Linked DNA regions of Saccharomyces cerevisiae S288C. The protein of the gene in region 1 interacts with the protein of each later gene in a pairwise test. Each region holds a gene or a part of one and is shown on either strand. Other genes may lie near its edges.

Region 1 (4,323 bases):
AGTTCTCACCCGCTAGAAAAATATGATCTCCTTGACGATGCAAATAAACACTTGATTATTTGCGGAGTTTGCCGTCATGAAATGACGTTTGCAGAGTATTACGACTACAATTCAAACCTTATTTGTCCCAATTGCAGATCCCCCTTTAATCCAGGCTGTAAATTGCACTACCATTTGTATTTCCAGAACCCTCCCCCCGCTATGTGTTGAGTGTTGTTCTATAAATGCATGCCATCTTAAGCTCTGCTGTGCTCTTCTCGTTAAGGAAAAAATGCGATGGTATATATATAGATATATATATATATATATGTATCTGTATATATATGTTCATACATATATATATATCTATTATTGTTGTTATTATTATCGTGATTATTATTTAGGTCCTCCCTTCTTTTTACCTGTTTTTAATCTACCCTCAAATCCGGCTCTTTTCTTTGGTACGGCACTACCGACATACTTTCTTTTCATCTTTTCTTGCTTATTTCTCTTTTTACCCTTGTTGTCTTTCCTAATCCTCAGATTCTCTTCTCTTCTCTTTTGTCTTTCAGATATCGTGTCTTCCACAACCCTCTTACGTTCGCTCCATTCAATCGCAGACTTTCTCTTTTGTGCTTCCTTTCTCTTTATAGCTTTGCGAAGTAGTTTTTCGTCATCCCTAATCTTAATTCCTTCTGCTTGTAACATAGCCTTTTGCCATTTTTCCTTTTCCTTCTGCTTGATTTGTTCTAGTTCGTCTTTCGCCTCCATCTTATTCTTCTTGGCTTCTAATAACTTTAAGTGTGATTTTACATCATTCTTAGCCGGACCCTTCGTTCTACCAGCTTTTCTTAACCTTTGTAAATCTGAAGTGGCCCTTGCACCATCATCGAATATGATATTTTGAAACATTACACCATCTGCGTTAATTTCTGAGTCCTTCTTGCCTTTTTTGAATCTTTTTTTCGAATTGTTTTCTAAATCACTATCGATGTCTTCCATATCGGAATCAGACGCAATTTCATCCTGATCCTGTTCCTGTTCACTTTCTAGACGCTTTCTTTTTTTCAACTCTTCCTTGCGTTTCCTTTGAGCAAGAATAGCCTCTCTAGAACCGGGTGCTTTCCTTTTACTCTTCATATCTGAAATTTTCGCTTGTAACTTGGAACGTAGTGCTTCCAAGTTTTTCTTTCTTTGTAGTTTCTCTTCCTCTGTAATAGACTTCTTTTCGACAGATCTATCGGGCTCTGTAGTATCTTTTTTAGATTCTAATGGTATTTCATTTCCCTCATCATCAAAGATCACCTTAATATCCTCTTCCTCTTCTTCATCTTCGTCTGGTGCTATTATCATAGGATCGTTTACTTCTACGTTCAGGTCGGAGTCTCCTTCCACTTTTGATGTTGCTTCCTTTTGCTTTTGCATTTTCATGTGCTTGAATTTTTCACCAGGTAGGACCACCGGCTTTGCGTCTTTCTCCTTCTTCTTCATTACTTCTAATGTACTAGATGTTTCATCATCACGTTGCTCCGGGTCTAATTTTTTCAGTTTATCATTTTTACTCTGTTCTTTGGTTTTCTTCTTGGCCTTCCATTGCTCTTGACTTTTTTCATCATAATAGTATTTTGCAGGAATTAAAGCCAATAAACCATCGAAGGCGCTTGAATTAGCACGAAGGCGCTCCTCAAGTGAATTACTCATCTCAGTCTCCTATATCTTTCAATTCCCGGACTTTCTTTATCACTTGCAACAACGTCTCAGTCCTCACTTGTTATTCATCTCTTGGTCATCTCATCTCTTTTATTGTACTTTCCTCTTTTCTTTACCGGAGATGAGAATAAAAAGAATTCATTTTAAAAAATTTTCAATTTGGTGTCTGGGTGAAACTTTTTAATCGTGTAATCCCAATTAAACCACTCTACTTTACTTTAATTGGTACACGAACTCATTACACACCTTTGCCTCTATTGCTTGTGTCAATCGTGTTGAGAGAGGAAGCCCAAAACAAGGGAAATTAACCTCTGTAGGCAAGCCATCACATTTGGCAATAGCAGCCCTCATTTAATTTAATTCGGCATGTGGCCGGCAGGGTAATGCGCTCTGCTGCTGACAAAATTGAAAGAAAAATTTTTTTCATCAACAGTTTGCAATACTTTCTTTTTCATATTTAATTCATCCATTCCGTCGTTAATTTTGTTCAAAACTGGTGTCCATCCTTAATACCAACTCAATTCTTTGATTTTGGCCCTCGATAGATTCAAGATGTCCCAAGGTACTTTATACATTAATAGATCTCCAAGAAACTACGCTTCTGAAGCTTTGATTTCTTACTTTAAACTAGATGTCAAGATCGTTGATCTAGAACAATCTAGCGAGTTTGCTTCTTTGTTCCCATTGAAGCAAGCCCCTGCATTTTTGGGTCCAAAGGGCTTAAAGCTAACTGAAGCTTTGGCTATCCAATTTTATTGTATGTTCCATATTTTATTTTAACACTTCCACATACATTGTTTTGCGCGTTTCCCGTTCGTTTATTTGGCACGTCATTTTTCTTCGAAACATAATGATGAAAAAAAATTTTATCAAACAGTTATCCCTGTCTGAATGGGTAATAATAGGTAACCTCTCATATGTTGATATTTGTATTTCTGATATGTTTCTTAAAGAAAAATGAAAGTCAAAATAACAAAAAGGAAGTACAAAGCGTGTCCTAATCCAGGAAAAAATATAAAGGATTGTTTTACTAACATTTCTTCAATTAATGGTTGTATAACCATCGAGATGATGTATATTTAGTGGCTAATCAAGTTGCCGATGAAAAAGAAAGAGCTCGCTTATTAGGTTCCGACGTTATCGAAAAGTCTCAAATCCTTAGATGGGCATCTCTAGCTAATTCCGATGTCATGAGCAACATTGCTCGTCCATTCCTTTCTTTCAAAGGTTTGATTCCATACAACAAGAAAGACGTTGATGCTTGTTTTGTTAAAATCGACAACCTAGCTGCTGTCTTCGATGCTAGATTGAGAGACTACACCTTTGTTGCTACCGAAAACATTTCTCTAGGTGACCTTCATGCCGCTGGTTCTTGGGCTTTTGGTTTGGCCACTATTTTGGGCCCTGAATGGAGAGCTAAGCATCCTCATTTGATGAGATGGTTCAACACTGTTGCTGCTTCTCCAATCGTGAAGACTCCATTTGCTGAAGTCAAATTGGCTGAAAAGGCTCTAACCTACACTCCACCAAAGAAGCAAAAGGCTGAAAAGCCAAAGGCCGAAAAGTCAAAGGCTGAAAAGAAGAAGGACGAAGCTAAGCCAGCAGATGATGCTGCTCCAGCTAAAAAGCCAAAGCACCCATTGGAAGCTTTAGGAAAGTCCACATTTGTCTTGGATGACTGGAAGAGAAAGTACTCCAACGACGACACCAGACCAGTTGCTTTGCCATGGTTCTGGGAACACTACAACCCTGAAGAATACTCCATCTGGAAGGTTGGTTACAAATACAACGACGAACTTACCTTGACTTTCATGTCCAACAACTTGGTCGGTGGTTTTTTCAACAGATTGTCCGCTTCTACTAAGTACATGTTCGGTTGTTTAGTTGTCTATGGTGAAAACAACAATAATGGTATTGTTGGTGCCGTTATGGTCAGAGGCCAAGATTTCGCTCCAGCCTTTGATGTCGCTCCAGACTGGGAATCTTACGAATACACCAAGTTGGACCCAACCAAGGAAGAAGACAAAGAATTTGTCAACAACATGTGGGCTTGGGATAAGCCTGTTGTTGTCAATGGCGAAGATAAGGAAATTGTTGACGGTAAGGTTTTGAAATAATCTCAATAACTCTTCTTCCATATTTTCTTCCCAATATACATAAGAGTCAAACAAAACGAATTTTCAAAAGAAAAAAGAAAAAAACCCTGAAGTCTACTTCATGATTACCCCATACTTACGCGTGGTTTAATTCTATGTAACGATTAACGTCCATGTAATCATTATATATATATATATTGTAATAATCTCTCTAATTGAGTATCACAATCTGCTGCGGTTACTCTAACAATATTTTGCATAAACTTGATTCTTCTCTTCTTATTTCATGTTTCAGTGGGGCATTTTCCATTGTACTTTTGCAACAATAGCGAAAAAAACAATTTTCCGTAAAGAGAAGCGTCAGTCATAAACGGTGTATGTTACCCGAACTGGAATGAATTTTATCTTAAGACTGGAAAACAATTTAGGATAGAACTGAAGATAGTGCAACACGTCTGGTGATATCATGTGCTTTCAAGCAGGATTTGTCACAGTGCTTTAGAAACACAAACAAAGGAGGTATATAGAAGTTGCAGTT
Region 2 (5,205 bases), on another chromosome or scaffold:
CTTTTCCTGAACGAACTTTCTTGCATTTTTTTCTTTGCTGTTCAATAGAGCATCCACGTCTTCCAATACAATGTCAGGAATTTTGGAAGATGGTAGTTTGACATAAACATGAGACGTAATTGGCTGTGATGTTGAAGAAGAGGATGCATTCGCGAGTTGCTTTCCGTTTTCAGTCTTAAGGGCATTTTGCTGTTGTTGTTGTTGTTGCTGTAACAGTTGCTGCTGTTGCTGCTTGGTGAGCCTAGAAGATTTGTCTTCAAGTTGGTTATTCCTTTTATTGTTCTTTGCCTTCGCTGCCGCTGCTGCAGCAGCTGCTCTCTTAAGTTCAGCTTTCCTTAGTTCAGCTTCCCTTTGTTCGACCGTAACAATCGTGGGGCGTTTTCTCTTGTGGTTAATCAAGTCATCGTCTTCTCCACTAATGTTCAAAGATCTTTTCAAATTCTTAATTTTTACCCTTTGATCGAATATTTTTAATTCATCATTAATCCAATTTAGGGAAACGTTCTCACGTTTAGCAACAAGCAGGGCCAAGTCCTTCGCGTTTTTCAATTCTTGATGCAACGCCCTTAAACGCTGACTGTTTAAGATATCTATACGTCTTGTTTTCCGCGGATGTCTCACTTCTCTTCTTCTGAAACAGACGTAGGGATCAATCTCTTCTTTTTCACCCGGCCTTTCAAATTTCAGCTGCGGAAAAATTTCGTACCCGTTAACTTCAATTTTTCTTTCTCTCCAATAATCATAAATTTTAGAGCCGAACTTCTCTATCAGCTGAATTAAAGGTCTCGTATTCATTTGAGATACGGGGTCGAATTGTGTGATAAAATGTGTTTTATGAGAATTTATTTCATGATTCAGCTGGTTTCTTAGATTGAAATCAGCCATATCTGATTTTATTAATGTGGGCTTCAATTCTTCAAAAGAAAGTATACTTTCCGGATCCATACTCAAGAATGGTTGACGCTCGTGAATAGCATGTTCAAAACTGGAACAAAGTATTTCAAATTCGTCTTCAGTTAAAATGTCTGATGAACCTTTGTTGACTTGTTCATTTAAAAAGGTCTCATCTCTTTCATCCATATTGTAGTTGGTACCACAGCAATCCTCCACAGTGGCAGAAAATTTGATGTAGCTGGTGGTCTCCTGGAAACTGCCCGTATAAAACTTATCATATTCATTCCAAGTCATAGAAGCATCCGGGGTCGGAATATAGTCTTTGTGCTTTGTATGACCAGAACCCATTTGTAATATTCGATGCAAATGGACCTCCTTTTCTTCATTTTTTTCTACACCAGTTTCGATCTCAACCACCTCTCTCTGTTGCAATTCATCTTTATCCAGGTGTTTCAGATCGTTAGGCAGATATATCTTAAGATGTTGCTTCACAGATATTTTTCGATGTCTAAATCGACTATTACTGCTACCAGCACTGGCTCCAGCACCTGAATCGCCTTTTGAGAATGAATCTAGACCGTCATCGTGCGCACTCCTAGATCCAGACCGCCTAGTGCTTCTACCAGATTTATGCGAACCGTCATTGATCTCTATAGCGTTTGAAGGTGTCGGCATCGTTATTATCGTTATTTGCTAATGTTATTACAATGTTTTTATAAGCACGTGACTATAATGTTACCCTATCGTGTGCAATTTTTATTTATGTTGACCTGAAGTCCGCAGTTGCCGTACAATGTGAGAATATGGACAAAAGGAAGGCGAGGGTGGCAAAAAGAGGAGTCAAAAATAGATAGCGTTTATTTTATTATAGCAGCTCAGAGGAACGCGATGTGGTGTAATAATATTGCGAGTGTCTAATGACCACCAGAATACGAGCACAGTTTTGGCTGATTTTTGCAAACTTTTTTGCTTTTGTGTAGTAACCTCTCACAGGTATTGCTTGTATGCTATACCATGTGATATGTAATAGTACAATTTTGTGGTCGGATCGTGCTTTTGCCACCCGCGGCCGACGGAGAAAATTTTTTTCCTCTATCCCTTTGTTTCTCGCTTACTCCTGCGGTATGGGGTGCTAACTATGGTGAGCGAGTATGGGAAGAAGTAGCGATATACGGGTAACCCTAATGTTTGGGTGTTTTGAAATTTATCCTTGGAGGATAGGCGATGAGCTGCTCTTAAAGGTTTTAACAGAGAGTGTTGTATGAATATTCTGTAGAATTTTATAGTAAACAGGTATCCTCAGACTGTAATAGCCATGGATTTGTTAGCGGCCAGCGTAGAAAGTACGTTGAAAAATCTGCAAGATAAGAGAAACTTTCTTTCGGAACAAAGAGAGCACTATATAGATATCAGAAGCCGACTGGTTAGATTTATCAATGACAATGATGATGGCGAAGAAGAAGGCGAAGGCCAAGGGATGGTGTTTGGTGATATCATAATTTCTACGAGTAAGATATATCTAAGTCTAGGCTATGAGTATTACGTTGAAAAGACCAAAGAGGAGGCCATCACGTTTGTTGATGATAAATTAAAACTAATGGAGGACGCCATTGAGCAATTTAACCTGAAGATCGAAGAGGCTAAAAAGACCTTAGACAACTTGAATCACATGGAGGACGGAAATGGAATTGAAGAAGACGAAGCGAACAACGACGAAGATTTTCTGCCCTCTATGGAGATTAGAGAAGAACTAGATGACGAGGGAAATGTCATAAGTAGTTCCGTTACCCCTACAACAAAGCAACCATCACAATCGAATTCCAAAAAAGAACAGACACCTGCAGTCGGTCCAAAGGAGAAAGGATTAGCAAAGGAGAAGAAATCAAAGTCATTCGAAGAAAACTTGAAAGGAAAGTTATTGAAAAGGAACGATGAAGTAAAGAAAAAAGTGCAGCCATCTAAAGTAGATACAGAAAACGTGTATACATTTGCCGACTTGGTCCAACAGATGGACCAACAAGATGAATTGGAGGACGGCTATATTGAAACTGATGAAATAAATTATGATTATGATGCGTTCGAAAACTCCAATTTCAAAGTCAATGATAACTATGAAGAGGATGACGAGGACGAAGATGAAGAAGAGTATCTAAATCATTCTATTATACCTGGCTTTGAAGCGCAGTCCTCATTTTTACAACAAATTCAACGCCTACGCGCACAAAAGCAATCCCAAGATCATGAGAGGGAAGAAGGTGACGTTAATAAATCATTAAAACCTATTTTGAAAAAGTCTTCTTTTGCTGAGAATTCAGACAAAAAGCAGAAAAAGAAACAAGTCGGGTTTGCATCTTCTCTAGAAATTCACGAAGTCGAAAACTTGAAAGAAGAGAACAAGAGGCAGATGCAATCCTTTGCGGTGCCCATGTATGAAACCCAGGAAAGCACAGGTATCGCTAATAAAATGACATCGGATGAGTTTGATGGTGATTTATTTGCTAAGATGTTGGGTGTCCAAGAGGCCGATGAAGTGCATGAAAAATATAAAGAGGAACTGATAAATCAAGAGAGACTTGAAGGGGAAGCAAGCAGGTCGAATAGAAGAACTAGGGTGTCCAGATTCCGGAAGGATAGAGCTTCTAAAAAAGAAAATACGTTATCAACTTTCAAACAGGAAACGACAAGGTCAGTGGAGAACGAGGTAGTGGAAAAAGAGCCTGTTGTGGGGGATATTATAGAAAAAGAACCTGTTGTGGGGGATGTTATAGAAAAAGAACCTGTTGTGGGGGATGTTATAGAAAAAGAGCCTGCTGTCACCGATATAGTGGAAAGGGAGCCTGCTGTCAACGATATAGTGGAAAGGAAGCCTGTTGTGGGGGATATTATAGAAAAAGAACCTACTATCAACGATATAGTGGAAAAAGAACCGGAAATTAACAGCAAGAGCGAGTTTGAGACTCCTTTTAAAAAGAAAAAGCTAAAATCACTGCAAAAACCAAGATCATCGAAATCAATGAAAAAAAAATTTGATCCCAAAATTCTCGAAAATATAAGTGATGACGATTATGATGATGATGACGATGGTAATAAGAAACTTTTGTCCAACAAAAGTAAAAATAACACTGATGAGCAAGATAAATTTCCTTCAAAAATCCAAGAGGTGTCTAGGTCGATGGCTAAGACGGGCGCCACAGTAGGGAGTGAGCCGGTTAGAATTACAAATGTCGATTATCACGCCCTAGGTGGAAACTTGGATGATATGGTCAAGGCATATTCATTGGGGTTATATGACGACGATTTAGAGGAAGATCCAGGAACCATAGTGGAAAAGCTCGAGGATTTCAAAGAATACAATAAGCAGGTGGAGTTGCTGCGTGACGAAATTCGAGACTTTCAACTAGAAAACAAGCCAGTGACGATGGAGGAGGAGGAAAATGATGGCAATGTTATGAATGATATCATTGAGCATGAATTTCCTGAAAGTTACACAAATGACGAGGACGAAGTAGCACTACATCCGGGCCGGCTACAGGAAGAGGTTGCTATAGAGTACAGACGGTTGAAAGAAGCTACCGCGTCGAAATGGCAATCATCATCACCCGCCGCACACACTGAAGGCGAATTGGAGCCTATTGATAAGTTCGGGAACCCGGTCAAGACAAGTCGTTTCCGCTCTCAACGGCTCCATATGGACAGTAAACCATAACCCATATGGAGACAGAAAGTAAATCAGAATCTATATTAACATATACGTATATATTTGTTTTGTGTACAATAACTACTACAAAATTGGGGACAGACGATATAAAACTAGAGGAACTGCTGAGCTTATTCGTACAAGTCTTCGTCCAATCTAGCAGCAGGATTGGTTTCGATAAAGTCCAAAGAGACTTTATGACCTAACAGTTCTCTGATGTTTTGAACCTTATATTTGATCATGGTAGGTCTTTCCAAGGATAACCCCCAACCAAGGACTCTTAGATCCTTTGGTAGACCCATGGACTCGAGCATTTCTGGTCTGAACATACCAGAGTTACCGATTTCGACCCATTTTTGCAAACCTTCGTGCCAAGAAAAGATTTCCATTGATGGCTCGGTGTAAGGATTGTAGGTAGGCTTGAATCTCAAACCGGTGACACCCATTCTTTCGAAAAACTCTTCCATGAACTTGATCAGGTCACCCAGAGTAATGTTGTAGTCGGCAAGAACACCTTCCACCTGGTGGAATTCGGCCAAATGGGTGGCGTCAACTGCTTCGTTACGGAAAACACGGTCGATAGAAAACAATCTGGTGGGCTTTGGATCTTTGGC

Evidence for each region.
Region 2: the proteins of TEF4 (region 1) and BUD27 interact in binary tests that used the Saccharomyces cerevisiae proteins (3 or more experiments, as listed by UniProt).

What each region holds. Positions count from the first base shown.
Region 1 is NC_001143.9:280,650-284,972, forward strand, and holds TEF4 (translation elongation factor EF1B gamma), read left to right. Parts: upstream 1-2,241; coding exon 2,242-2,446; intron 2,447-2,535; exon of another isoform or gene 2,536-2,630; intron 2,631-2,772; coding exon 2,773-3,806; downstream 3,807-4,323. Other genes in the region: HOT13 (Hot13p), read left to right, coding at 1-210; ribosome biosynthesis protein RRP14, read right to left, coding at 376-1,680. UniProt on the Saccharomyces cerevisiae protein: Subunit of the eukaryotic elongation factor 1 complex (eEF1). Probably plays a role in anchoring the complex to other cellular components.
Region 2 is NC_001138.5:88,777-93,981, forward strand, and holds BUD27 (prefoldin-like protein), read left to right. Parts: upstream 1-2,209; coding exon 2,210-4,600; downstream 4,601-5,205. Other genes in the region: EPL1 (Epl1p), read right to left, coding at 1-1,569; FRS2 (phenylalanine--tRNA ligase subunit alpha), read right to left, coding at 4,723-5,205. UniProt on the Saccharomyces cerevisiae protein: Involved in gene expression controlled by TOR kinase and nutrient signaling. May also be involved in positioning the proximal bud pole signal.